4 linked regions of the Arabidopsis thaliana genome follow. The protein of the gene in region 1 interacts with the protein of each later gene in a pairwise test. Each region holds a gene or a part of one and is shown in the gene's direction. Other genes may lie near its edges. The genes, in order: OFP2, BLH3, BEL10 and KNAT5.

Evidence for each region.
Region 2: the proteins of OFP2 (region 1) and BLH3 interact in a two-hybrid assay, tested with the Arabidopsis thaliana proteins (one large-scale study listed by BioGRID).
Region 3: the proteins of OFP2 (region 1) and BEL10 interact in a two-hybrid assay, tested with the Arabidopsis thaliana proteins (one large-scale study listed by BioGRID).
Region 4: the proteins of OFP2 (region 1) and KNAT5 interact in a two-hybrid assay, tested with the Arabidopsis thaliana proteins (one large-scale study listed by BioGRID).

Annotation. Positions count from the first base shown.
Region 1 is NC_003071.7:12,954,388-12,960,864, forward strand, and holds OFP2 (ovate family protein 2), read left to right. Parts: upstream 1-2,057; 5' UTR 2,058-2,204; coding exon 2,205-3,167; 3' UTR 3,168-3,420; downstream 3,421-6,477. Other genes in the region: OFP17 (ovate family protein 17), read right to left, coding at 22-362, 450-696; KIS (tubulin folding cofactor A (KIESEL)), read left to right, coding at 5,425-5,577, 5,709-5,795, 6,064-6,165.
Region 2 is NC_003070.9:28,297,962-28,305,905, reverse strand, and holds BLH3 (BEL1-like homeodomain 3), read left to right. Parts: upstream 1-3,177; 5' UTR 3,178-3,503; exon of another isoform or gene 3,504-3,955; 5' UTR 3,956-4,015; coding exon 4,016-4,753; intron 4,754-4,831; coding exon 4,832-5,208; intron 5,209-5,285; coding exon 5,286-5,346; coding exon of another isoform or gene 5,347-5,385; exon of another isoform or gene 5,386-5,412; coding exon 5,413-5,811; 3' UTR 5,812-6,120; downstream 6,121-7,944. Other genes in the region: AT1G75420 (UDP-Glycosyltransferase superfamily protein), read right to left, coding at 1-112, 200-437; AT1G75400 (RING/U-box superfamily protein), read right to left, coding at 6,442-6,468, 6,556-7,527, 7,626-7,657. UniProt on the Arabidopsis thaliana protein: Transcription factor that is responsive of the nuclear import of SHOOT MERISTEMLESS (STM).
Region 3 is NC_003070.9:6,808,079-6,816,327, reverse strand, and holds BEL10 (BEL1-like homeodomain 10), read left to right. Parts: upstream 1-3,264; 5' UTR 3,265-3,485; intron 3,486-3,570; exon of another isoform or gene 3,571-4,124; intron 4,125-4,333; exon of another isoform or gene 4,334-4,400; 5' UTR 4,401-4,473; coding exon 4,474-5,217; intron 5,218-5,305; coding exon 5,306-5,691; intron 5,692-5,796; coding exon 5,797-5,857; intron 5,858-5,944; coding exon 5,945-6,370; 3' UTR 6,371-6,563; downstream 6,564-8,249. Other genes in the region: AT1G19710 (UDP-Glycosyltransferase superfamily protein), read right to left, coding at 1-213, 326-480, 573-844, 929-1,071, 1,141-1,408; AT1G19690 (NAD(P)-binding Rossmann-fold superfamily protein), read left to right, coding at 6,766-6,992, 7,078-7,170, 7,251-7,329, 7,418-7,496, 7,587-7,626, 7,696-7,830, 7,913-8,050, 8,136-8,249.
Region 4 is NC_003075.7:15,490,433-15,497,734, forward strand, and holds KNAT5 (homeobox protein knotted-1-like 5), read left to right. Parts: upstream 1-3,556; 5' UTR 3,557-3,694; coding exon 3,695-4,237; intron 4,238-4,621; coding exon 4,622-4,742; intron 4,743-4,834; coding exon 4,835-5,034; intron 5,035-5,123; coding exon 5,124-5,255; intron 5,256-5,336; coding exon 5,337-5,476; coding exon of another isoform or gene 5,477-5,480; exon of another isoform or gene 5,481-5,561; coding exon 5,562-5,577; 3' UTR 5,578-5,949; downstream 5,950-7,302. Other genes in the region: AT4G32030 (uncharacterized protein), read left to right, coding at 471-854, 1,921-1,977, 2,073-2,135, 2,215-2,283, 2,387-2,575; AT4G32050 (neurochondrin family protein), read left to right, coding at 6,188-6,383, 6,521-6,671, 6,808-6,944, 7,124-7,227.

The DNA of each region.
Region 1 (6,477 bases):
GATCAATTTAACTAGATCTGTTCATTCACCTGAAAACAAGTCTCTACAGAGTTCTCCATAAAATCTTGAGACAAGTTCAATGAAGACAGGACTCTTAAGATTCTTCCAACAGAAGAGAAGTTCCTCTATGTCCATTAAGTCATCTATTTTCCCTTCTTCAACAATCAGATGAATCAGATAGTTTTCAAAGCTTCTACAAGCATCTTCCACAGCATTGTCTTCAAATGTATCTCTTGCGTTCAGCGATTTCCTGGTCCGTGAAGAGTAAGGTGTCGTGATGGGTGAAGTGAAGAGCTTCTTGGCTGTTGCTGGCGTAAGAGGTGATTGCATAAACTTGGAGTAATCATCATCGTTCACACTAACTGCAATGGCAAAATAAGAGAACAAAGAGATCAAGAAGCTGATAAAATTTCAATGTTAAAACAGATTTTGTAGCGAAGTTGTCTTACAAGAGGAACTTCTATGTTTGGCGTTGCTCATCTTATGGTTCTTGCTTGAATTGAGGAAACAGAGACAAGAACAGATTGGCTTCTTGGAATGATGATGTTGATGTCTAGGTTTGACATTGCCATGACGGGCACGAAGAGGTCTAATAAAGACAGGTCTTTTAACTCGGAAGCGGAAGAGAGAGACAAATCTGTTGCATGATTTCGAAAGCTTTGATTTGAAGTTAATCAAAGTTGCTTTCACTCTCATTGTCTTGAAGCTTTTTTGGTGATGATGTTGTTGTTGTGATCCTCTTTGGCTTCTTGTTTTGTTTTGGTGTGTATAAGGTTAGAGGATTGGCTTGTGTTGCGTGGAGTTCACGTCTTTGGGTGTGAAACTGATCATGATGGTGGAGTCCCATGAAGTTTTTAAAAACAATGGAGAATAGAAAAGGTTTTCTTATTGCAAATGTTTGGTGGCTCTTGCTTATAAACAAAATCCAATATGATGAGATAGTTTTGTTTTTGTATACTCAAAAAGTCGTTGATATATTGGTAGGTCAACATTGTTGAACATAAACCAGTCCCACGTCTAGTGAAAATATCTCCATTTTTTAAATATGAATAATCACTTGTGCTTATTTAAAGTAAGGATGGAAAATGTTTTATTTTGATTTTTGAATATCATTTTTTTCCTTCTCGAAGTTAAAAGATAAGTAGTTGCCAAAACATTTGATCTGGAAAGTGGAAATGTATAGAAGAAGAAAAAAAGTGTCCTCAAAATGTTCGGCGTTAGTGGACAAAGTAGACCAAAAAATTTCTCATATTCATTATTATGACTCAAAAGTTGATCCCACTTTATTCAGAGGAGAAAATGGAACATATTTGATTATCTTAATTTCATCATTTGTGTATCTGTATCACCTTAATATAACATAAAGTGCTACTATACTAAATTATTTCTACCTAAAAACTTAAGATAAGGTTCACACTTTACCAAATTCAAAGAAGCATCGAAATGAAACTATTGAACTTCATTATAACGTGTACTTTGAGTCTTTAACCTAGATAGATTCACATATGTTAAACTTTTAGTTGAATTGTGAAAACTTTGTTTTTATTTATTAAATTGATTTGTCCGTTTAGAAACGTTTTAATATTTTCAATCAAAAAGCATACTTCGAGGAAAAGAAGCTGTATTTTTCTTTTGTAATTGCCATTTGGTCAACCTTTTTGTGTATTCTTTAAAACTGTTTACATTTGCTACTGTTTTATAATTCGCTAATTACATTTTTCAGTTATTTTATCATTTCGATGAAGAGTAAAATCTCCATGAAATGATGATAGAAATCTGTCAGAAATCAGAAGCAACTGATTCTCTGTTTTATAATTATTTTTGTACTATTCCCTTAATTATATAATATTTTAGATAAAAGTTATGTTCTTATGATTTTCAGTTTTTCACCAAATACAATTTCAATTAGTCAACCAATTTTAAAAATTCACCATAAAATAAATTTATTAATTATGTGAGCACAAGCGTGTAAATGTGATGTCTCAAGTTGATGTTGATGATGAATGATGATGATACTAATAAAAGACATTCTTTAAGCTTTTTCTAGTAGTAGCCCCACTAGTTTCCAATTTTAATCTTCAGTTTCTTCTTTATCTGTCACATAGAGAACTTTGCTTTCTCACCTTCTTCTTTATCTAAGGAAACAAAAACAGAGTTTTCTTAAGAGAAATATCACAAACTTTTGTGAAAAAGAGAGAGACAAGATGGGGAATTACAAGTTCAGAATTTCAGAGATGCTCCCAAATGCATGGTTCCACAAGCTCAAAGACGTGACTAAACACTCTAAACCCAAAAACAAAGCTTCTTCTTCTTCCTCAAACACTTGTAGCAAGAAGAAACCTTCCTCAGATTCTCTTCCTCAACACTCTTATTTCTCCAACAGCTTAGTAGCTAACAATCCTCCTCACCATAACTCACCAAGAAACTCTCTTCACACAAAAAAGATGAGTAAAAGAAAGACACTTTACAAGCCATCCCTTAAACCTTTGACTCCTCCTCCTCTTCTTGTATCTGCAAGTTTCAACAAGAGCAAGATCAACGATCAAGATTCGTCTTACAGCTTGTTCCCGGCTATTGAAACCTCCCCTGAGTCTTTTGTGTATAGTTTCTACGAAGAGGATGATGATGATGAGTTCGTTGAATTTTCCAACTTCAAGATCAACACAAAGAACAAAGCTTTCACCAAGCAGAAGGTCAAAGTGATTGATTCGGTAGAGAAAGCTTGTACTGCAAGCAAGCCGATTAAGAAACCGCAGAAAAGCCATCTTTCTGTGAAAATTTCAAGAGATGAAGATGATAATGAATATAAAGCCGAGAAGAAGTACCAAAGGCAAGTTTCTAGTGGAAGAAAACCATCTGCTGGGATAAACCTCAAAAGAGTGAATTCACCTAGAATTCAACTCTCAGGTACTCGTAGAAGCACTTCTAGAAGATCAGAGAGCAAACAAGATGTTCTAGAGAGCTTCGCTGTGATGAAGCGGTCCGTTGATCCAAAGAAAGATTTCAGGGAATCAATGATTGAGATGATAGAAGAGAACAACATCAGAGCTTCGAAAGACTTGGAAGACCTTCTTGCTTGCTACCTTACTTTGAATCCAAAGGAGTATCATGATCTTATCATCCATGTTTTCGAACAAATCTGGCTTCAACTTACAAAAACAAAGTAAAGAAAAAAATAATTCTTAATGTAATAGTAGTTAACCTAATGGTGAAAGTAATTAGTATCATTCTGCTTGTGAAATTGTAGTTGTTGACTTGTTGTTGATGTTCATAAGAAGTTAGATGGAACTGTGGAGATTCTCTCTTTGAATCCCACTTTTTATGTATTGTTTTCTTTATTTATCTTTTTGGAAAATGTAAGCAAATAATAAAAGTTGTTATCATATTGTCGTTTTAATACAAACATGATCACTAAGGGCGTGAAAACACTGTTAATTAAGACAGATTTTTTTATCACTAATTAAACATATTCTTGTCTTCTCTATGATTATGAACATATAAAACTACTCACAAAAGATGATGCTTCAAGATTTGATTATTTCTTAGAATATGAAGATGGATTAATTGCGCCAATATCATTTGAATATTTTGAAAATACAAAGTTGAAAATGGCGGTAAACAGCAACAAGAAAAAGACAACAGTGAAGAGACATGAACAATTTGAAAACGCAACAAGTACGGAGTTTATATATATGCATGAAGAACATTGGATAATCGTTGAAGGTAGAGAGAGGACCACTGACACATAAAACTGAGATGTGATTAAAGAAGAAAGAAACAGTGATGAGATTTAATCCTTAAGGGTTTTTTTTTTTCTGTGAAGAAGGGAAGAATGAACTCATGAAGAAGAAGAAGAGGACCACTGTTGCAAATTCCATCCCCTACCACAGTTGGCTTATGAAGTTTCAGCAAAAGACATGTGATATGGTATGGTTTCTGACTTCTGAGTGAACATAAGCAACAAATATTCAAATCAATGGGCCTAAATGATCTTGCAGTTTTGGATTATAAAGTTAAGAATTAAAAAGAATAGGTGATATATGTATCATAATTTTAAGTTTTAAACAAGTATGTCAGACAAAATTCTACATTCTAATTTTATACATAGATATGAGATAACCTCATAACCATAAACTACACCAAATTTTCATGAACAAAATATGATTCACACGAACTTTTTTCTATCTTGATCACCTAGCTAACTTGACAAATTAGTTGTTCGTCTAAAACTACACAAACATTCAAAGTTCGTTTTAAATTCAATATATTTAAAAATAACAGTTAAAGTTTTATTAAATGGCATTCCAAATATTGATTCCTTCTAGAAAATTTGTGTGGTTTTAAATTGTGAAATTTGGATCTAGAAAAAATAGCAAGTGTGGTTTCTTGTGACCTATGGTTGTTAGTGTAGTTGTATACCATTTTTTAAAGTTACATTGTAATTTGTAAACCATTTTTGTGTGGTTGACAAAAAAAAAACCTATGACAAAATTGCTCCGTTTTTATTTTCAATAACAAATTATAATGTAAATTAATATGTATCATAGTGTTTTTAATAAAAATATTTAAAATTAGGATTGATTGTTCTGAAAAAAATAACGCAACTAATACTTTGTTAGCAAATACTAACGTTTACGTACCAAAAAAGCATTATGTAAATCCATTCATCCATCATTGTATACTTGACTTTCTACATTATTCTTTTGTTGTATCAAATTTAAAATTAATGAATGAACTTGACATAATAAAACACAAAATATATACTTAAATTGTACGATATAAAAGTTTGATTTACATATTTTATATCTATAAAAAAGGGTAAATAAATGAAATAAAACTTTTTTTTTTTTTTTTGTCAAAGAAATGAAATAAAACTCAAATTACATTTTTATGTCGTAATGCGAGCACACAAGTGAGTGCATATCCAGTATTAAGTTTTTTTTTTAATAATTCAGAATTGAAAGCAAAGGAAAAAGAAGAAATCGAAATCGGAAACTGTATATTGTTGTTCTTCGATTCCTCCTCGCTCTACGCCGCGTCCTCTCTCTCAAATTCATCGGAAGCAACCTTCTTCTCCCATCATCGCCTGGTTCGTTTCTAAACCCTACTTCTTCTATTTCACAGTATATCTTCCTTTAATTTTCAATCGAATCTAGCTTTGTGTCGATCTCAATGTAGATCGGAATCAAGTAAAAGAAATCGATGAATTCCAAAATGTTCCCGATCTATTGCAATGCACGAATCGTAGAATTATCACCTACATTAGTCTTGATCTAATCGCCCTATTTCAATTTCAAATTCGACATCGAAGTTTAAAGGAGATCGCAAAACCTAGTTATAGAATCGTTGCGTTTGAGTTGTTTCGCTGGTGATGTAGAAACCCTAATTTTGGTTGTCCTGTGTTTGGTACTTGCTCAGAATCCAATGGCAACGATAAGGAACTTGAAGATAAAAACATCAACATGTAAAAGGATTGTGAAAGAGCTTCACTCTTATGAGAAAGAAGTTGAGAGAGAAGCGGCTAAGACTGCTGATATGAAGGACAAAGGTGCTGATCCCTACGACCTTAAACAACAGGTACAGATTTCATTGTTTATCTCTCTGTATTCGAAGATTCGGAGCCCGTCTTTGTTCGTCAGAATCTAGAAATGCTGTGTTGTGCTGTGTTTAGACTTGGTTTTTCCTAATCTGTGTATGTGGTGATGCAGGAAAATGTGTTGGGTGAGTCTAGGATGATGATTCCGGATTGCCACAAACGTCTCGAGTCTGCATTGGCTGACCTCAAGTCCACTTTGGTAAACTACATTTTCCATTGTTATTGCTTGCTAAGCGTCGGTCTAGCTTTATGTATTAGTTTATAAGAAACGCTGAGCGGTGATTTGAAGTTTAAGAGCAGTAGTACATTATCAAACTATAACTTTTATATGTATCTATAGCGATTGGATTAATCCCCTGCATGAAACCATCTTAGTCTCTCTTTGAGGAAAAATGATGAATAAGGACACAGAGGAAACTGTGAATTCGTACTCTGTCTTTTGTCTCTAATGAAAACTGAATTTGCAGGCGGAATTGGAAGAGACGGATGAGAAGGAAGGTCCAGAGATCGAAGATGCAAAGAAGACAGTCGCGGATGTGGAGAAGCAGTTTCCCACTGAAGATGCCTGATTTAGCCAGCGATGAGTGTTAAATCTGTATTCTGAGAATGGTTAATCATCTGTAAGAATCTTTATATCTAAGGTTGCTTGTCGACTGTATACACTAAAAATATCTTTCTTTAACATTTTGGTGATTGTTCTTTCATTCAATATCTTTGAAATGGCACACTTGCTATAATGTGTTGTAAGCTGCAACTTAACGATTGATAATTGATATAACTTTGACAACCATGATTGTAAACTAAGTGAAGATTAAGAGCACGGATTTAGAAAAGGTGATCTTATTCTAATTTGTTTTGCGAAGAGATTCAACAATTTCTGA
Region 2 (7,944 bases), on another chromosome or scaffold:
AGACTATAGACAACTTCATCATCTTCAAGTGGCTTTTGATTAGTGATCCAAACAACGTCAGCACCAACTCCTCTTAACAAAAACGCCAATTCCATCAATAGCAAAGGTCCACCTTTTGTCACACAAAATCAATCATCACCTCAAAAAAGTATGATTTTTTCGAGAACCCAGATCAAATTAGAAATCAAATCAGCAGAACCTGAGAGTGATAGCTCGTGGGATACTAACAAAACGAGCTTCGATTTCATGAAATCTAGAGGATTCGATTGAAACTTCGCGGCGCTGCTTTCTCCATTCTTTTCTTCCACGAATTGGCTACTAATGCTACAGGTTTCAAAGCTAGATCTCACGAGAATCATACACACTGTTGATACAGATAGAAACAACAAAACCATCAGTGCCCATCTCTTCCTTTGCATCGTCGACGCTTTGACCATTGTTTTCCTTTGCTAAAGACACATCCTAAGGTTTTCAATAGTCTAGATCTTCGCAAATGACTCGTCGAAACTAAGCTAAAGATCTCAAAAATCAAACCTTTGAAAATCAAATTCGAGACGAGAATGGGCAAGAAATTGGATCTCTGAGTAGAACTGTAAAGTGAGTTATACTGAGAAGAACCTTGAAAGAAAATTTTGATCTTTAAAGGTTTCACAGTGCACGCCGTTATTGGAAGAACGTCTTGCCGTTTTTAATCCCTCTGGGCCACTTAAACCCGCATATTATTATGGGCTCTAAAAAGGCAATTATGTTCATTAACATAGAAACTCCAGTCTCCACTTTTAGTTTGTATCACGATTAATGAGGTTTAAGATACTAATGACTTTCACATCTCATGCACTGAAAATTTACTGTGTGCTACGTTATTTTATGTTTTGAAAATGTATTTTCACTGGTGGAATCAATCTTTATGGCAAGAACAACAATATTTCCCTTGTTAGTTTAAATACAAAATATTTATGATCATAAATTGTGGATCGTGCATATATAATTTCTCAAACGCTATACAGATAGAGACTTGAGTGTAACGCAAAACTCATATTAATCTGTGAACTGTAGTATTACTATTTACCTGGGAACATCTAATTAACCGTACCATAAACTCTTACTTTGTTGCCATTTACATGTAGTTTAACCAGATTGCTCTTGAAAATAGGAAAAACTCATGTGGTTAAACGGTCCGACTATTTATGATTAACAACTGCGATTAATTATATCTTAAGGATATTAATTATTATTAGCTGTCATACCATATAGCTAGGTGTACAAAAAGCTTTTTGTCCAAACAAAAGCTGTTGATTTCTTACTCGTCATTTCCTCATTTAGCACTATCATCATCACTCATCATCGATTCATCATCTTCTTCAAATTATATACTCACGATATGTATAATATTATTATTCATAAGAATACTCATCATAAATAGCTTTAGAAAACCACATTCATTTAACCTATTTTAGAAAGTTAAAAATATTTGATCCTTTCAAACTTTCCCACTGTATATACTCCCATATTCAACCAGCTGTGTGTAGGGTTTATCAGTTGTACATTTAAAAACAAACAAATAATCTACTCATAAATATATAAAATTTCATAAAAAAAGAATTTGTTGTAACACATTGATTCTCCTTGAAAGGTTTGTGTCGGCTGTTCCAATCTATGACAAAACCGAAACTCAACCAAAAACAAAAAAAAACATTAAAGAATAAAAGAAATAAACGAAATATACAGAAATTGAAATAAGAATAACATTTATTAAGATGGACACAAAGCCGTTAGCTTCGTTCCGTTAAGGAACGTCTCTACGAAACAAATTGGCGTCCAAGTCTTTCGTTTTTGGCCACTTTCACCAACTTCGCGTCCGACACAGCTACCTTATTTATTTCATTTTTCATCATCTTCTTTCGAATTCTACTTTTTCTATTATTTATTACACAACCTCCTTAGATCCTTTGGGACATGGAATCGACCCATCATAACTTTTCTTTTCATTTTATTGTTTTGCGTATAAATACATTTTCTTCATGTAGGTCAAATGAATCACTTGATTATTTAAGAAAATATGTTTATTTGTTAGTCAACTAATTGGATTTTTTCGTTCCAAGTAAGGAAATTGGGTAGTCACCAACTGGTTGTTAAGGTCCTTTAATCCCTCAATTAAGCAATTGAGCAGACACAACACTTCTTCCTCAAAGCAACATTTCTGGCAAATCAAAATTCTCTAGGCCTAGGGATACTTTAGTAATTTTAATTACTTTATATTCAATATATTGATTTGTTGACAATTCTACTTATATCTTTATTTTTAATATGTAAATAATAGGAAGATATTGAAAAAATGGAGTTAATTAGTTTCCTCTTTTGCACGTCACTTAATAAGAGTATGTGTGTCCAATGTATTACGCGAAGAAACAAGTATATAACGTATAAACAGTAGGAGACCTCAAAAGATGTTTAATTTTAATTTTGATCACAATCTTTTTAGAGAGTTCCGTCGTTATAATAATTTAACAATTATACATCAAAACATCATAGATTAGTTATGAAGTATCATGTCACGTAACACATGTTTCTCGTTCGCTTATAACCAGGGATCTGCAATTATGTAAAGAAATTAATAAAAGCATCTGTTGGTTCAGACTAACCCATGATTTTATCATCACAACCACAACTAATTTGAGATTGCTTGAGTTAATTTAATCTAACAAAGCTTTGGTGGAAAATTTTAATAGTAAAAAATTTCAACGGTTGCTTGAATTTATGTCCAAGCTATTAATTAAACTTTATAAAAACATAGAATACGAAAACTCAACTCTTTTCTTCATTTTAAAAAACATACTTTATTTTTAATTATATTTATTTGAATATAAGCACCAAGTCAAGTCAATGACAACACTGCACAGTATTCCTTCTGGTTCCAATAATATTCTTTTGTTTTATCAGATAACTTGAAATATAAATGCATATAAAAAGTCGCATTTGTATAAATATTCTCCATTATCTAACAATAATCCTATCAGAGAAAAGGAAAAAAAATATGAAAATTTCCGCTCACGCGTGTTATTCTCTAAATGGTTGGCACAGAAAAAAAACCAACAAAAAATTATTAATTTTAATATAGAAGCTTCGGTTGGAATAGAAAAACAAACAAAAAAGAATTACTGGTAGAGAATAGAGATTGTCAAATTTCTCCATAGGTTAGTGATACACTGATATTTTATTAAACATTAATTAAAAAATCTGGGTTTGTTGTCGAGGTTCCAATGATAAGATGGTTTGGTTCTGTTCTTTGTTAGTGAATGCCAAATAAAGTTTTAAAATAGTATCGGAATTTAATAAAAATCGTCTCTTGGGATTGGGTGTCTTCTCTTTCTTTCTCTCTCTTTTTGTCATCGACTGTTCGAAGTTCTTCTTCTTCTCCCTTTTTATCTCTCTGTTCCCTGATTCAGCCACATCCACAATCTCTCTTTCTCTTTTGTATAGTTTATCATCTAGCTCTTTCTCAGGTTTCATTTCTTTAACTATAATAATTCGATTGTTCTTATTAGTAGCTTCTTGATTCAAAGCTATATGATTGACTTGTTGTACTCTGTTTCTCTTTTTACAAAAAGATTTCCTTTTTCGAATTTTATCATCATCTTCGTCTCTGTTAAATTCTTACAAAAGTATGAAATCATCAGAACTTAAAAAAAATTAACTTTATATCTTTCATGATTTCAAACATCATCCTCTGTTTTTGTTTGCGTCACTGAATTGAAGTGGAAACTTTACCTAGGGTTTTGATATCTTCTTGACCTAAATTGAGTATTTCATATTTTTTTCATTTCTTGAATTCATCTGTAATTGCGGCGTATATAGAGATTAAGATGTTTTAACCTCTTTAAAGAATTGTTCTTTTATTTATCCAGTTTCAGTTTCAAACTCACACGTCTCTCTCTCTCTCTTTCTCTTTTTTCAGACAAAACATCAATCGGATGAAACTCACTTAAACAACAAAACACTTTCGATTTATTATCCAATGGCTGTGTATTACCCTAATAGTGTCGGCATGCAATCTCTTTACCAAGAATCCATTTACCTCAACGAACAACAACAACAACAACAACAAGCTTCTTCTTCCTCTGCTGCATCTTTCTCCGAGATTGTTTCCGGTGATGTTCGAAACAACGAGATGGTATTTATCCCACCAACAAGCGACGTAGCCGTCAACGGAAACGTAACGGTGTCAAGTAACGATCTAAGCTTTCACGGTGGAGGACTTTCTTTAAGTCTTGGTAATCAGATCCAGTCAGCTGTCTCTGTTTCTCCGTTTCAGTATCATTACCAGAATCTTTCGAACCAATTGAGTTACAATAATCTTAATCCTTCTACTATGTCTGATGAGAATGGGAAGAGCTTGAGTGTTCATCAGCATCACTCTGATCAAATTTTACCTTCCTCTGTTTACAACAACAATGGTAATAATGGTGTTGGATTCTACAACAATTACCGTTACGAGACATCAGGGTTTGTGAGTAGTGTACTGAGATCTCGTTACCTTAAACCAACACAACAATTGCTTGATGAAGTTGTTAGTGTAAGGAAAGATTTGAAATTGGGGAATAAGAAGATGAAGAATGATAAAGGTCAAGACTTTCACAATGGGTCTAGTGATAACATTACAGAAGATGATAAATCTCAATCGCAGGAGTTGTCTCCTTCAGAACGTCAGGAGCTACAGAGCAAGAAGAGCAAGCTTTTAACAATGGTGGATGAGGTAAGACTAAATCAAATTTGAATACTTTAAAGTGAGAGAGAGACTTTGGAGTTTTGAGTTTTGAAAACATTTTTGCAGGTAGATAAAAGGTATAACCAATACCATCATCAAATGGAAGCTTTAGCATCGTCTTTCGAGATGGTAACAGGTCTTGGAGCAGCTAAGCCTTACACATCCGTAGCTCTGAATAGAATCTCTCGCCATTTCCGCTGTTTACGCGACGCGATAAAAGAACAGATTCAGGTGATCAGAGGGAAGCTTGGGGAGAGAGAGACTTCTGATGAACAAGGAGAGAGGATACCGCGTCTTAGGTACTTAGATCAACGGTTGAGACAACAGAGAGCTTTGCATCAACAACTTGGAATGGTTAGACCAGCTTGGAGACCACAAAGAGGCTTACCTGAAAACTCTGTCTCTATACTTCGAGCTTGGCTCTTTGAGCATTTCCTTCATCCGTAAGTTTGTTGTTTGTAAGACACTTTCTTTCTGCTCCTCATTGCTTCATTGATAACCATTTCAATCGTTTTTGTAGATATCCTAAAGAATCAGAGAAAATCATGCTTTCAAAGCAGACAGGACTATCGAAAAACCAGGTTCTTATTGGCTCAATCTTTGGTCTTGCTTTTATATGAGTGGTATTCTGATTCTTGGCAATTTAGGTTGCAAATTGGTTTATTAACGCGAGAGTTCGACTATGGAAACCAATGATTGAAGAGATGTATAAAGAAGAGTTTGGAGAATCAGCAGAGTTACTCTCTAACTCTAATCAAGACACCAAAAAAATGCAGGAAACATCTCAGCTCAAACACGAAGACTCTTCGTCTTCGCAACAACAGAATCAGGGAAACAACAACAACAACATCCCATATACATCTGATGCAGAACAAAACCTAGTCTTTGCAGATCCTAAACCAGACCGTGCTACTACTGGAGATTACGACAGCTTGATGAACTATCATGGGTTTGGTATTGATGATTACAATCGTTACGTTGGCCTTGGAAACCAACAAGATGGCAGATATTCTAATCCCCATCAATTACACGACTTTGTTGTCTAAAAGATTCCTGAGCTTTTCACAAGCTTAAGAACTGGCAATGCCAGTTGATTGGGGGAGTATGATTCTTGAAGCGCAAGAAAATGCGCTCTTGGCATTTTTATAGATAGGGGTTATACAAATATGTATATCTGTAATATTTGTTGTGGCATATATAAAGGATAGATTTTGTGAAAACTTTAGGTGTTAGACTTTACATTTGTATATGAAAATTGAGCTTTGTGTACACTTTGGTAAGCCGATATTGTAATGTTTTTGTTTATAATCTTCATGATGGTATAAACAATACTTTTAAGTGTGAACAAACTGAAAAAGATTTGATCTAATTTCCTCATTTTGTTACAAGAATTGGAACAGATTTTGAGTTCCTCTGAAACTTGTGTAAACAACGAAACGTTACACAACTTTTTAAACATTCTCTGTAAATGGTTGGCAAATTCTCAAATCTTTTCTAAAATGACAAGTTTGTTTCATTACTGAAAATTATCCCCACAGGTTACAATGAAACACACAAAATATCCAAAAAGAAAGTTAAAACACAGCTCTAAAGGCTATAGCTGAACCTGAATATCTGTTTTATACAAAGCTTTCCTAAATAACCCGCATGCCTCTGATCCAGATGGAGGGGTTTCATCATAGCGGAGATGTCTGATTAAGTCCCTGAAATGTGTGTATTATTGGTTATTTACAGGAATGTTTCATTTCTCTAGCAAATCAGGATTGAATATTCAGTGTATGGATCTTTACCTCTATGCTTGAAGAAGACCGGTTATTTCGATGTCTAGACCAGAATCCCTTCTTCAATGCAGAGTCTTTGGACGAGGGTTTATTCCACTTGGAGCTGATAGAAGCAAAGTGCCATTTCAAGAATGACTTATTAGACGAGCTCTTGCTACTGCAACTAGCTTCCAGCTTGAGAGCTTTGCCTTCTCGTTTCCCCATTTTCTGGAATACAAACTCATCGCATTCACTCTCACCGTAACTATCTACCACACGGTTTTTACATCTTTTGTACTGCTTTGCCTTTGCTTCCGCCTCCGCTTTTAGGGCTTTCCTTGTTATTTTCGCAACCCGTTTCTCCCCAATTGTGCATATGGGACAAGCAGGATCATACTTCTCTATATCAGTAGTCATGGTCTCTAAGCACTCTGCGTGGTAAACATGACCACAGGCAAGAACAGCAGCGATTGGGAGCTCAAAAGTGGCTATAGAAGACCTCTCGGTTAGCAACTTTGAACAAGCTCCACAAACCTGCTGATCAACAACGGAAGGGGAGAATGAGAATCTGCTGCTACCACCACTTAGTTTCCGTCTGCCAGAACCCAAGTGTTCGCTATCAAAGGACCATCTATCCCTTTGAGAATATGCCACGAGCTCAGAAAAAGTGTTCATAGACCAGCCACCTTCAGAAGATGCGTACTGGGATCCAGTGGCGAAGTCATTGCTACAGGTCGAAAGCACAAAGGACGACCTTCCTTCTGAGATTGAGTAATTATTAATTGGGGATTTCAGTCCTAAAATTTGACTATCAGAAACCTGCCTAAACAACTGATGCCCAGGTGAACGCCGAGCCCGTCTTGATGGTGTGGATTTAGGAGGAAGCAAACGCGTGTGAGCCGATGAAAGATCACTAACTGGATTGGGAAGAGAAGGCGTGGAGAACAAAGGCTTCGATTGAGCTGAAGGGACAATTCCAGGTGAGTCAACTAAGTTCTTCACCTGAAACAATGAAGATCCAACAAGGGTTAAAGATACACCGAAGGAAAGAAAAGAAAGCTTCCACGAGAGGAACACTAGAGTCAAGTCGATCATCTCACCTCAATGAGATCACTGCTTGCCAAGGATGAACCTGCCGCACAGAAAAGCATAACATAAGACACAGCAGGAATACGATACGCAAGACTAATTCATTACAATAACATGGTTCTTGGTGACAAAAAGGAATATAGTCATTAACGTTCAACTTAAAAATCCCTATGTCAACTATATCTACTCAACACCGTGAAGAGATCATGAAAACTAGCAAGCTTTACTTATACACGTTGGTGGAACGAAAAGATTCAAGGAAAAAATTAAAACGACTCAAAGCAAAGAGTTAGATTACAGTCAGAATTAGCTCCCAATAGTGTCATTGTC
Region 3 (8,249 bases), on another chromosome or scaffold:
TTGTTTTGTTGACAAAGTGGACAATTTTTTGAAGTTTCATCTCTTGGACAAAGTTGCGTAGCTCTGTCTCAAATTTCGTCTGTGCGCTCATATCGCTTCCTACTACCACTGCATGCATTGTTGGTACCTCAAGTTTCTTAGTCTCTTTGATTACTTTAAGACTTTCATGGAACGCTCGGAGGAATAGATCTTGGCCCTTTCCTCGAGATACACCTGCATAAGAGAAGCACCAGTCAGAAAGCAAATTAACCAAAATTTTGAGTCTTTTGCAGATTATGATTCTTAAAGAAACTAAGGAAGAGAAAGAATGTAAGAAATGACTAACTATTAATAATGCCAAATAGTATGTCTTCATTCCTCACTCCAAGAGATTCTCGAACTTGCTCACGGAGAACATTCTTGGCGAAACTATCTTCAGCTACTTCCATCAACTCCTTGCTATTTCCTAGGTGCACGACATAAGTTTTAGGCATTTTAATCCTGTGTTACAACAATAAAAGAATAAACACTGTTAAGCTTATGACAATAACGTAAACTAATATATCGCAAGACTCTACAGAGAGGAAACAGACCCTAAGCGATCATGAGTTCTGTTCTTCCAGTATTCAGCTGTTGCGTGCGAATCAATCATAGCACCTGCAACAAACGGAAGGTGCTTGACTAAATCCGGTTTGAAATAGTGACCTCTCATCTCATGAATCCACCAGAGTACTTTAGGAAGAACTTTAGGAACATTGTCCTTGAGAACTGCATCAAGCCATTTCCCAGCAACAGCAGTGTTTAAAACAACCAGATCAGACTTGAGAGCTGTATCTATAGCTTTCTGACTCTTTGCTGATATCACCTGAATGATTCAAAAAAGATTGATCACTAACAATTATGATACGAATCAAAGAAAAACAATGGAGGTGGTTAGCTAAATCTGAACCTGGACTCCTCGATCCAACATCTTGTGTTCTAGAACCTTGATCACTTCATCTTCTTCAACTGGTTTCTGATTCGTGATCCAAACAACTTCAGATTCAACTCCTCTAAGCAAAAACGCCAATTCCATTAACAATAAAGGTCCACCTAAAATCATCACTTCAAGTTTAGCCATAGAGATTTTGACAAGAGAGTAACACGATCACAAAACATCACCTGAGAGCGAGAGTTCATGAGAAACAAGTAAAACGAGCTTTGATTTCATGAACTCGAGAGGATTCAACGATCCAGAAACCGATTGGATCTTAATGTCACTGTTATCTTCCTTCTCTCGGCTACATCTCTTTCCACTAACACTACAGGAATCAAAAGTAGATCTCACGAGAATCATTCCTACTGTTGATACAGATAAAACCAATAGAATCATCAGTGGCCATCTCTTCTTCTGCAATGTTGCCCACATACTCGTTGATGGCTTCGCCATTGTTTCTCTCTACAGCTTAGAATCACATCCTAGGGTTTACACAGTAACAATCGATCTCAGAACTTTCTAAGGATCTGTCGTCAGTGATGGAGAAAGCTTGGAACGAAGAAGTTTAGAGGAGAGATTTAATGGGGAAAAGCCGCTAATCAGTGTTGACTCTTTGCAGAAGTTTGCAATTCACGCCGTTTTTGTTATTTAGAAGGAAGTTGATTGCCGTTTCTCAGCAGGCCCCCGATGGAATCCTCTCTTCATATTTATAATGGGCTTTAAAAGGCCTATTTGCTAAAAGCCTAAAACTAAACTAGTTATGATGATAGTTAATGCATACTATATGGTTTTAATTCTTTTTTTTTCTTAAGCTAAGCTAGGCTTCAGATTAGTTTTGCTGATACAATTTTGGTTTGGTTTTGTTTGGTTCTAATAATGGAGAGCATAATGATTTCGATCCATAGAATATAAATGTTACAAACATGAATTTTAGTGGTGATGATCCGTCTTCATATATGGTCCAACAATGTATGTGGCAATAAATTCTTTTACTTTTTGTTACACGGCCATAACTTGTGGCTATTTATTATAAAGTTTTTTTTCGGATATATCCATGTAATTAATATATTTGACAATTGGCAAGAATTATTATACTTCAACATTTTCCTCCAAACCAAAGGTTGTTCATTTCTTACTCACACACATTTTCCTCGTTTAGCATCATCGATTCATCCTCAACTTTAAAATATGATTTACAGAACCATACGGTTTTAAAAATAATTACATCATTAATAATCTAAATTTTTAGTAGATTTAATCAATCTCTCACCAGCTAACTGCCTAATTAATTTATTTTTAATCATCATTATAAATCAAGATCCACGTGGAAACAAAAGTCAATATCATCATCTCTCAAAGACTCAAAACACATGAATAATAATTTTCCAACACAATGGTACTTGCCAAATGATTTTGTGTCGGCTGCTCTAAATCCAATCTCCAACAAACCAAAACGAAACTACTTGTTATTTTAAAAATCAGAGGAAATGGATTATATTATTAGTGTAGCTATAAAGATAATCTTTTACGTATTCTTCATTGTGGAATATGCAAATACAAACATGTAAGTGTATAACTAAAAGGTTTATAACAAAAGAAATAAAAAGACAAGAGAACTTAGAATAAAAATTGGGTATAACAGAAGAGTAAGGAGGGACTCACCAACTGGTTGTTAAGTCATTTAATCCATCAATTAAGCAATTGAGCAGACACACACCCACCTTTGTTTTATCTTCTTCCTTAAACCAGCTTATCAGGGTCAGTTTTGTAATCTCATATTCCTACCTATAATGACGTTTCTATGTTTTATTTGATGGAGTTTAATTTCCGCTACCATGCATAACTAAAAGTATATCCGTTATATCAAACATTTAAAGAAAACCTCAAAGATATTGAACTACAAAGTGCTCAAGAAGTTCTATTAAAAATGTATCGAACTTTAACTTTATGATGAAAGCAAGGTGATAAGAACAAATAGTTTAAAAAAACATTTTAGTTTGAAATCCAAATCTAGACTCTATAATTTGTGGCAGGTAATAATTTCACTATTTTGGAGCCTCACGTACACAAATCAGGAAGTCGTTAAAAGTTTCCCACGATACCATGGTAATGTACGCATTATAGATTATTTCGTTTAAATAGTTAGATTTGGTTTTTTTTTTTAATATACAAATACTAAACTTTTCATATATAAACACTCATTCCTTCAACTTTTTTCTTTTGGTTGTATTTAGTTAACTTATACGGAAAAGTAGTATGAGTCTCAAGTCAATGACAACACAACATCATTAAAGTATAATACAATCATCTATAAAAATCCATTTATTTGTGTGTGTGGAATTGTTAAGTTTTGTATGTTAAAGTCGTCATAAGAAATATTATCACGTAATCAAGAAAAGAAAATTGGTGATTTGTAAGCTCTCACGTGTTTCTCTATGAATGGTTGGCACACAAAAAAAATCATATTAATTTATCTTTACTCTAAGCATCAGAAACAGAAGCTTCTGCCGCAAAAAATTAAAAATTACAGGTAGCGGTTGTCAAATTTTTCCGGTAGTGATCATTATTTTATTTTATTGTTGATATTGCATAATAATATTTTTAAAAATTGGGTTGGTGTCTAATGTCCCAATGATAAGTTGGGTTGGTTTTATTGTTCTTGTGGACTGAAAAAAATTTGTTTATTTAAGAATTTTGCAATTATTAATCGCCTCTTTCTCTATCTCTCTCGGGATTGGGTCTCAAATCTTTTTTTGTCTTCAACTGTTCGAAACTCTTCTGCTTTTGTGTTTCCTGATTCAGCCACATCCACACTCACAAACACAATCTCTAGGTTTTTTTTCTTCCTTTTAACTTTGATTCTCTCCCTCAGGTAGTTTTTAAAAATTCAAGTTCTTGATTCTTGATTCTTGATATGATTAATCTTGTACTGTGTTTCTTGATTATTATTTTTTGTATACTTTCTGTGTTTTTTTTCTCCCTTGCTTTTTGGAAATTCTCCTACAAGAGATGAAATCATCAAGACACTTTACTTCTTTATGTAATAATTGAATCTTCTCTGCTTTTGACTCACTACGTTGAGCTACACAATTTCTTTTTACTCTGCATTTTTTTTTCCAACCTCAAATTAGGGTTTTTTTCTCCTCTCAATTTCACCTCCATAGATCGGGTATTCCTCTACGATTACACAATTCCTGTATTGGGTTTTTCTGGGTTTCTTCAGTTCTTCACGAAAAACATTTGCTTTTTATCAAGAATTTGACTTTAATCCTCCGAATAATTTGGTCCGATTCTGTTTGTTGCTTTCGAAACTGTTTATGTATGATATATAAAAAAAATGGTTTGGTGTGAAATGATTACGATGTTTTAACCTCTCTTAGATTCCATCAGAAATTTTTAAAATTCCACACCTTACACGACTCTTCTTCCTCTTATTTTTTTGCAGGATCTCATTTCCCGACCAAACTCATCGAACTAAGAACTCACTGTAATAAAACTTTTAAAAGGTGTAAACACCAATGGCAGTTTATTACACAAGTAATGTCGGTTGTTACCAGCAAGAACCAATCTTTCTCAACCATCAACAACAAAACCAACAAGCTTCTTCTTCATCCGCCGCCGCTTCTTTCACCGTCACCGGCGGCGATACTGTTCGAAACGAGATGGTTTTTATCCCACCAACCACCACAGGAGACGTTGTAACAGGAAACGGTACCGTTTCAAGCAGCGATCTAAGCTTTCACGATGGTCAAGGACTGTCTTTGAGCCTTGGTACTCAGATCTCTGTTGCTCCGTTTCACTTTCATCAATACCAATTGGGGTTTACTAGTCAGAATCCTTCAATTTCAGTCAAGGAAACGTCACCGTTTCATGTGGATGAGATGAGTGTGAAGAGCAAAGAAATGATCTTGTTGGGTCAATCTGATCCTTCCTCTGGTTATGCTGGTAATGGTGGGAATGGCTTCTACAACAATTATCGGTATAATGAGACATCAGGAGGGTTTATGAGCAGCGTTCTGCGTTCTCGGTATCTTAAACCTGCTCAGAATTTGCTTGATGAAGTGGTTAGTGTCAAGAAAGAACTAAACCAAATGGGGAAGAAGAAGATGAAAGTTAATGACTTTAACAGTGGTTCTAAGGAGATAGAAGGAGGAGGTGGTGAGTTATCGAGTGATTCGAATGGGAAATCGATTGAGTTATCTACAATTGAACGTGAAGAGCTTCAGAACAAGAAGAACAAGCTTTTAACAATGGTTGATGAGGTAACTAACTTACATTTCATAAAACTACCTTTGGTTTATAACAGGATTGATGGTGATTTGGTTGTTGTGGATGTGTTAATGGTTGCAGGTAGATAAAAGATATAACCAATATTACCATCAAATGGAAGCATTAGCTTCATCATTTGAGATAGTAGCAGGACTTGGATCAGCTAAGCCTTACACATCAGTTGCTCTCAACAGAATCTCTCGCCATTTTCGTGCTCTTCGCGACGCAATAAAGGAACAAATTCAGATTGTTAGAGAAAAACTTGGGGAGAAAGGAGGAGAGTCGTTGGATGAGCAACAAGGAGAGAGGATACCAAGGTTGAGGTATTTAGATCAACGGTTGAGACAGCAAAGAGCTTTGCATCAACAGCTTGGAATGGTTCGACCTGCTTGGAGACCTCAAAGAGGTCTTCCTGAAAACTCTGTCTCTGTTCTTCGCGCTTGGCTCTTTGAACATTTCCTTCATCCGTAAGTGTTTCTTCTCTCACAAGTCACAAGTCACAATCTTTCAATCTCCCAGTACAAAACATTTAGAGAGACTCTATGTTTTTCTTCTGTTTTTTTTATTTGTAGATATCCGAAAGAATCTGAGAAAATCATGCTTGCAAAGCAGACAGGATTGTCAAAGAACCAGGTATAAACCAAGCTTTTGGTCTTCACTTAAAATTTGCACCCTTTGTGTTCTGCTTGAATAATTCTGGTTTCTCTGCTAAATGATTAGGTTGCTAATTGGTTCATAAACGCGAGAGTTCGTCTGTGGAAACCGATGATCGAAGAAATGTATAAAGAAGAGTTTGGTGATGAATCTGAGTTACTAATCTCCAAATCTTCCCAAGAACCCAACAGCACAAACCAAGAAGACTCCTCATCGCAGCAGCAGCAGCAGCAAGAGAACAACAACAACAGCAACCTCGCTTATTCATCTGCAGACACAACAAACATTGTCTTCTCATCAGAAACCAAACCAGATCGTGTTCTAGGCAATGATAACGACCCACAGCAACAACAGATAAACCGCTCATCGGATTACGACACTCTGATGAACTATCACGGGTTTGGTGTTGATGATTACCGTTACATTAGCGGAAGCAACCAGCAAGAAAGCAGATTCTCCAATTCCCATCACTTACACGACTTTGTTGTGTGATATTATCTGGTTCTTCTTGGTACAGAGGAGATGATTCTTGAAGCGCAAGAAATGTGCTTTTGCATTTTTATAGTATTAGGCATAATACACCCATTCTCTATGGATTATATAGTAGATGTGTAGGTTGCTTTTGTGTATAGTAGACTCTTAAGCCAAATATTGATATGTGTGTATAATAATATTCACGGTGGTATAAAGGATACTTGCAAGTGTGAAAAAATCTGAACTTGAGACTTTTGTGGTAAATGTTTCACGATTCTTTATAGTATATATCACTGGACTGTAAAAACGAAATGCAGTCCTTGATTTTGAAAACAAAACGGCACGTAGTTTCTTTGTACTGTGAATCAGTTAAAGTACAACAGACCTTGGAGTCTCTCAGTCCTCCGATTTCAATGGCGGTTTTTCAGTTACCAAGTTTGTCACCGGAGATTCCTTTCCGTTTTACTCCCACACCACTTAAATTTTCAAATCGTAGGAGAATCAACTTTTTCCGGCCATTATCAGCAACCGACGATTCTCGATCCGGTGCACCAGATCCAGAATCGCCGAACCAAATGTTCATTCTCGGGATGGGATTCGTCGGAGGTTTTTTTGCGCAACAGCTCAAAGAATCAGACTGGTCTGATATCTCAGTTTCTCTCCTTATCTCTATATCTATCTATTTTCATCTTTCTCCGATGGTGTTAACAATTTTGGAGGTTTAGGGTGGTTTCAGGGACTTGCAGGAGTGATTCTAAGAAGAAAGAATGGGAAAAGAGAGGAATTAATCTTCATCCATTTTCTGCAGACTCACCTGAGTATTTGTTTTAATCAGATCTTCAATGATGGTAATCTCTAAAATCTGAGTCTTAAACTCTTTTGTTTGCTTGTTAATCAGATGGAGCTTGCTAGATTCAGTGAAAGATTACACTCATCTACTCATTTCCATTCCTCCTTTAGCTGACATTGGTGATCCGGTTTGCTTTCTTCTCCAGCTTTTATCATTAGAGCTTAATGTGATTTCTTATTTGATAACACTGTCTTAACTGTGATGACTTCCAAAAGATGTTGCGGAATGTAGAACTTGTGAGAGACAAGCTTTCGAGTGGAAATCTTCGATGGCTTTGTTATCTCTCATCAACAAGTATTTTCCTTTTTAACTTTCCTCATTACATCAATGCTTCTGCTTCCACAGTAGACAGGAACTTACAATACTTCTCTTTGATGCTTGCAGGTGTGTATGGAGATTGTGGTGGTGCGTGGGTCAATGAAAAGTAAGTTTCTTTCTTCCAAGTTTCATCTCTTTTGTTCATGATAGATAAGGTCGTTCCTTCATATTGCAGTCATCTCCCAAATCCTAAAACTCAGTCAGCCAAAGTGAGATTAGCTGCAGAACAAGGATGGTTAAGCTTGGGTCGTGATCTTGGGGTTTCGACTCAAATACTTCGACTTGGGGGTATTTATGGACCTGGTCGAAGGTTGTTTACAGCTTCTGATTGTGTATGTAGTGCTTAAACAGGCTTTAAAACTGATTCTCAAAAGGAACGTTTCTTGCTGCAGTGCAATTGATACCTTGTTAAAGCAGGAGCGTTTGTCTGAAGGTCAAAAGAGAAGAGCGTCCCGTAAATTCACGTCGAGAGTTCATGTTGAAGATATATGCCAAGTTCTTAAAGCTGCCACTGAAAAGCCAGCATCAGGGTTTGTGTATCCCTCTTCATCTATGATCATTCTTTTGTGATGGATGATTGAACCATTGAGACGGATGAATCAACCATTTTGGCAGGGAGATCTACAATATTGTTGATGATGATCCGGCAGCAAGAGAAGAGGTGTTTGAATATGCCTTGGAGTTGATCGAGAAACGTTGGCCGGGGAATATCACCACAAAACCATTTCC
Region 4 (7,302 bases), on another chromosome or scaffold:
TACATATTTTTCACATACCCTTTCCCCACACAACTCAGTTTTTGGGTCCCACCTTTCCTTTCTTATTTTTTTTGTCATCACAAACAAACCATTGAGATAAAAAAATTAAATCCAAATCTGCAATCCATCCAGCCACAGACCCGATCTTGCATTTTCGCATCGACATTAAAATGGCAATAAAATAAATCATTTTTTTTTTCTTTTCGAAAAGAACAAAGAAAAATGAGAAAAGGAAGAAAAAAGAGATAGAGGAATAATTTAGAGGGAGCCTCGTATATAACACCATTCCCATCTCTCTCTCTCTCTTTCTCCTCTATTTCGATATTTCTTCTTCTTCTCCTTCTCTCTCCCTTCGTCATTATCTCTCTTCTGTAACTTCTCTTTCTTTCCCTCTCTCTCTTTCGCTGCTTCTCTTCTGTATCTGATTCCCTTTTTTACGGGAGCTGTAGATTTGAGTAGTGTAAGCGTCGATGAAGAAGGTTACATCGTCTAAGATTCCGGCCAAGGATGATTGGGTGGCTGTAGCGATAACTGACGACGATTTGGTCGTTGAGCTTCTTTTACGGCTGAAGCATGCCGGAACGGTAGTGTCGGATAATCCGGCGGTGATTCTCCCTCCGTTGCGGTGGGGAATCCGTCAACGACGGTCTCGTTCCTCAAGATTTGGTGGCGGCGGCGGCGTTCTCGTTTCCTTGAAGAAAGATGTCGATTCCGTTAGAGCCAGTCCGAAGACTCCTCTCTCGTGGAGCGGCGGATCTGGAAGTGGTGGCGGCTCTGCTTCTCCTTCCGCCGATGGATTCGAGGATAACAGTCGCCAAGCTAGCTGCTCTACATCTACAGGATCTGGATCTAAGGTAACTTTCTCTTTTCCCTATCGTGATTTTCAACTTTTGCCTCTCGATTTAGTCTTCTCTCTCTATCTTCTTTCTCTCAATTACGAATCCGGTAGCTCCGGAGAGATGGCAAATCCGTCATCTCGCTGGATAATCCGATTCCGATCTGGCCGATAAATCTGGATTTAGCCGTTCGTAATTGAGAAGATCCTTGGCCGTCTCTCTGTTTTTCTTCATTTTTTTTCCTAAAATCCATAAAGTTTAGCCTGACGTCATCTCTCGCACGCTTCAATTCTCACTAGAACGTATTTAGTCTGTTTTCTTCAACTTCTAACAAATTCACCGGAAAAAATTCCTCCGCCGTGATTCGCCGATGACACCGTCGGCCGGAGCCATCCTGCTTCTAGGTTAAATTCATCTAATCTCCAAAAAGTCAAAGCCACTTTAAGCTTAATTTCCTTGTTTTCTGCTCATTTTTTGTAATTAGAAAACTCTACTAATCTTCTGTAACAAAGCTTAATAAGAGACCTGTTTTTCTCGGTACGCATTGAACCGGATCTTGCGTGGCCGGTTAGATGTGGATTTTTAGAAATCGGTCAACTTTAATTTTGTCTTGAGGAATAATTAAAGCTCCTTTTAGATTTTGGGGGTAGTACAGCTTAACAGCTAGTTGGTCAAACGCGTCCGCGTTTTATTGAACGTTTTGATGCTCGAGACGGTAGCGTTTTGTGGGTTGAAAGTTGAAACGAGTAAAATGATCTTGTCGGAGAGATTGGTATCACGTGATCTTTAAAAGAGTGATGACGATAGATGACAATGCCCATGACACGGAATAATCATGATGTGGCATCAAATCCTCACTATAAAAATTCTTTCCCAATTATATATTTGAGATTTTTTAATTTTATGCTCTATTTGGTTTCTTCGATATATTTTTCTTACTTGTTTGAAATTTCTGTTGTGGGAAAAGAAACTTTTTACCGGTATGTTAAAATAAGATCTTGGGTATTGATTATAAAAGTAAAACAGTTGTCGTTATCTTCAGCCATTTAATAGTTGACTAATCAAATGCGTTTTTGTTTTGCAGGTTTTTCCCACAAACGAAATCACCAGTTGTTTCTCCAAGAGATTGAAGAAGAGGAAGGTAAATATAAAGTCTCCTTTTTGAATTTCAAGTACACACTCCAAAATTCAAATTTTATTGAGCTGATGGTTTTTTATTCTTTTAATATTTGGCAGTCATCTTTTGAGCTTAAAAATGAAGAGAACTTGAAGTTGAAGGAGAGACTTGACCTTGAAAAGGTAGATTTTCGTTGCTATTCTCTGTTTTATTATCATGGTTTTCATTGTATTCTTAAAAAAACCCAATATTTTTCCACAGGAGATTGCAAGTCTCCGAGCAACATTCGATGAACAAAACCTTAGGAACCAAAAGCTGAAGAGGATTAAGGTAACATTTAGATTCTCCCTAACCATCTTTACAGTAATCAGATATTCCAGATCCCTTCTCTCTATTTGCTGGTCTCATCGACTCTTGTGTTTTCTTGTTTCAGCTTGACTTAAACTCAGGCCGTGTCACAAACAAGAAACCTGTTGATTTGATTCGTAAATCACAACTCGAGCGGCTACAGGGATCAAAATCTTGCAAAACCAGTGACTCGCAAAATCAGGGGAGTTTCTTCGTCCTCCCTGATCTCAACATGGCGCCATCCGAGGAAGAGATATTGTACGGAACTAGCTAAAAACTGGCCTATATGAAGATTTGCGATCGAATTATAGTGAAGGGAAGAAGGGAGCTAGAGATGTCAACTAAGAAAAGTGAATGTAATAAGTGGTGTAATGAAACTCTCCCGTCACATTCTGGTTTTCCGTTTCCTTCTTTTTTTGGGGTAAAATGCTCAATTACTTCTTGATTTTTTCTTAGGAAGAGGGTGAAAATTAGGTTTTTACTTTTTACTCCCTCCCTCCCTCCCTCTCTGTTTTCTTTAATTTGATGTGTTAGAAGAAAAAATTTGTTTTAAATAGATGGTGTTATCAATTTTTAATGCAAAATTAACTACTTTTTTTTTTCTTTCTTTCTCTTTGTACCGATTTAAAAGCTTTTGTTGGAAATTGTAAAGAGGAAAAAGTAGGACAACTAATAGACTTTTTATGTTCCAAACATTTTCTTCTTCACTATTCTCCATACATTATTATATTAAAACCCTAGTTTCCGCTCAACTAATCCAAGACAAGAAGATCTATCAATCTCTTTGGACATTCATTTTTCTACTATTTAATTTGAATTTTTATAATATAAACTTGGGAGGTGTAATGCTATTGGTGGGTTGTCGGCGTGTTCATGGAAAAAGATTCGTTTTTAAATGCCCAATAAATTTGAGAAAAAATTGCCAACTTGTTTATGAGCTTATTTTCTTTTTCATGGATCCCAAGTCTTTTGTGTATAGAGATTAAAAAAAAATGACATTCCTTCATGTAAAAAAGAAAAAAATATCTGGGTTTTAAAAATATCTACAATGAGTTTAATGGTAAATATACTTATCATAATTTGGAGAATAAAGACCTAAAGAAGAAAATTACACTCTAGAACAGAAGTTTTGTAAGCAAATCATTGCTCACAAAACTTGTGAATTACAGAATTACAGGCTCTTGTAGGTTGAGTTATTTTATGCTTCATTTTGGTTACAGGCTTTATGTTGACATTAAAACAAAGAGATTGAAGTAGAGTCCAAAAAAAAAAAAAATATATATAAATATAAAATTCAAGATTAATTAAAAAATATTGGTCTTCAGAGAGATAAATAACTAGGGGAAAGAGAAAACAGTCTTCTCTTCTCCGATCCCAAAAACGCAGGAAAACAATGTCGTTTAACAGCTCCCACCTCCTTCCTCCACAAGAAGACCTTCCTCTCCGACACTTCACCGATCAATCACAGCAACCTCCGCCGCAGCGTCACTTCTCTGAAACACCTTCGCTTGTCACCGCCAGTTTCCTCAACCTCCCTACCACCCTTACCACTGCGGATTCCGATCTCGCTCCTCCGCACCGCAACGGAGACAATTCCGTTGCTGATACAAACCCACGCTGGCTCTCCTTTCATTCGGAGATGCAAAATACTGGAGAAGTACGTTCTGAAGTTATCGACGGAGTCAACGCCGATGGTGAAACGATACTCGGCGTTGTAGGAGGTGAAGATTGGCGGAGTGCTAGCTATAAGGCGGCGATTTTAAGACATCCGATGTACGAGCAGCTTCTTGCGGCTCACGTGGCTTGCCTTAGGGTTGCGACTCCCGTTGACCAGATTCCGAGGATCGATGCTCAGCTCAGTCAGTTGCATACCGTCGCCGCGAAATACTCCACTCTTGGTGTGGTTGTTGACAACAAGGAACTTGATCATTTCATGGTAAGTTTCACTTTCTAATTTTGCAAAATTTTAATGTTTTGAACTGTGAACGATTCAGCCATTTATTTCTCTTTGATTATCTGAGTATAGCAAATTCACATTTTTGTGTGGCTCATTGTTCCCGCTTCTCGAGTCTTGCAATCGATATGATCTTTGCTTCTACTTTTTTGGTTAGCTTGTAATTCGAATTATGAACTTTGTCTGACTCAAATAAGTTATATTTGTTGCATAAAGCTTCTTCTTTGATGACTAATAGTTTGTCTGATTCTTGCTGAAAAGGACTTTGCATGTCCAAGAGAAAGAAAGCATAATCTATTTTTTGTAACGTTCTGTTTGTATGTCTTATGGATTGGAATCTTACCTTTGATTATTATGTTGATGCAGTCACATTATGTTGTCTTGTTATGTTCATTTAAAGAACAACTCCAACACCACGTTTGTGTCCATGCAATGGAAGCCATTACGGCTTGTTGGGAGATTGAACAATCACTGCAATCCCTAACTGGTAACGTCCCAAATCATTTTTTTTTTTTGTTATTGTCTTCTTGCTTTATGTGTGTCTTGGTTTTATCGGTTTTTCTTTGTTCTGGTTTGTAGGAGTTTCTCCAAGTGAAAGTAATGGTAAGACAATGTCGGATGATGAAGATGATAATCAAGTAGAGAGCGAGGTGAACATGTTTGATGGAAGTTTGGACGGTTCAGATTGCTTGATGGGGTTTGGTCCTCTTGTTCCAACCGAGAGAGAGAGATCTTTGATGGAACGTGTGAAGAAAGAACTGAAGCATGAGCTTAAACAGGTAATTGCTTGATCAAGCTGCAATGGTACATCAAACTATACAAAACACATTGTTAAATCATGTTGCTCGGTTTCTTTTTTCCCCTGTAGGGTTTCAAAGAGAAGATTGTGGACATAAGAGAAGAGATAATGAGGAAGAGAAGGGCGGGAAAGTTGCCAGGAGATACGACTTCTGTACTCAAAGAATGGTGGCGAACTCACTCGAAATGGCCATACCCAACTGTAAACACCTTGGCCGAGAAGTTTTGTTACCACATTGTCAAAAGCAAGGTTTTAATTCGTGATTTGGTTTTGGAATTGCAGGAGGAAGATAAGGCAAAACTGGTTCAAGAAACCGGTTTGCAGTTGAAACAGATCAACAATTGGTTCATCAACCAGAGGAAAAGAAACTGGAACAGCAACTCTTCCACGTCATCTACTCTCACCAAGAACAAACGTAAACGGTAAAACAAGATCCGTTCTCTTTTTCAAATTGCGCAATTTCATTAAACCAACCCGGTCAAGATCTTCTTTTGTAACCAAACTCAGGACCGGGAAGTCGTAGGTGACATAGCGGCTAACTAGAGGATGGTTCTTTGCCATGTGAATTCTTGGGAACCGTATATGAAAGAAACGAATCCGGTTCTATGCTCGTACAGAGTGTGTTATTTGTATAGTGGATACCGGTTAGCCTATGAAACCGGATTCTGGAGTCCAAATTGTTGTTTGTAACGACTTAGTAGTTTTTGGAAGTGATCTGTTTCGTTGGTTTGCGTCTTGTAACGAACGCTTAAGCAAGTGTGGGTTTTTTCTTGTAAAGTGTCAATATGTTCGTTTGTAATGAATGTATCAAGCAATATTTATCATAATTAAACTAGCTTGAAATGTAGTATTACGATGTTGTTGTGTTCGTCTGATTTCTCTCACCGGTTGATGCATGGTTACGTTCGGCTCGGTTTTTATATGGTTCAATTTTTAATATATCGATAATTTTAAATGATTTCACTTGTATTATTAACAAAGCCCATTGGTATTTGGCCCAAAATCTGAATGCCGACTTAATGACTTGTTTCTTCTTCCTTCAGCTTCTCCAACGAACGGCTTTTGTTTTAGTTTTTTTTGCTTACCTTTCTCTCGACTTGGTCTACTTTTGTTACTCTTTGAGTTGGGTGATTATGGCAGCAGCACCACAGGAGGAACGATCTCCGTCGCTTGACGATTGCCTTAAGCTATTGAAAGGGGAGAGAGACGAGCAGAGGCTCGCCGGTCTACTTCTCGTCACCAAATTCTGTAAGAACGATGACATCGTTTCTCTCAACAAGGTCTACGAAGCCGTTGGTACTCACTTTCTCGACCGTCTTTTCCGTACTGGTAATCAAAACCCCGAATTATTGATCTTTGTCTCAGTAAATACTAATATCAATTTTGGGGTTTCTACAAAGTGTGAATTTTTTAGTTGAGATACTAAAGTTTGTTGCTCTGACTGGTTTCGATTTTTTGTTTTGCAGGTAGTGGCAGTGGCGATGGGGTTGATAATCGTGATGTGTATCTGCAGATATCTATCACTGTTCTTGCTGCATTCTGCCGTGTTCCGGAGATAGCTTCTTCAGAAGAGATGGTCTCCAGAATTCCCCTTATTCTCGAAGTAATGTCCAAAGGGTATGTTAGATCACCTGATTCTTGCATTTGCGACTTTCCATGAAGTTTTTTTTTTAATCAAGCTTTGCTTCTGTGTCTTCAACTTTTTGCATATTGTGATTGCCTAAAGTTAGGAAATTGGCTTTTGGAATTTCAGAATAACTACAAACATGCTCGAAGATTGCTATGAGCTTCTGTATTTGGTGTCCACGGCTTGTGAAGCTGGTCTCATGACTTTGATTAACTCTGGAGGCTTGAGAGTGATAGCTCCCCAGATGTCTGAGTTACCTGATGGTAATACATACTCTTTCATTGGGTTTACATTCTTTTGTTGTGTATATGATGCACATTAGATTCCATTGAATGCTATTTCGGATTGATTATATTTGGTGTCAAAGAAAACGTGCCATGTTGAGGTAGATGGATTTGATAATAGTTTTTCACTGGGAGCTAATGTGAGACATGTTATTCAGGTTCACATGCCATGGAGGTTGCTATAAAGATTCTGCAGTTATTGGTTAGTAAGCTTGATTGTGGGAGCATGACTATTGAACGCTTCTTAGAACTGTCTTTGGTGGTGAGTCTACTTACTTGGTTACTTTTTGTTTTCTTTTCGCAATACTTACTAAAGCTGCAATGCTGAAGTTGGACT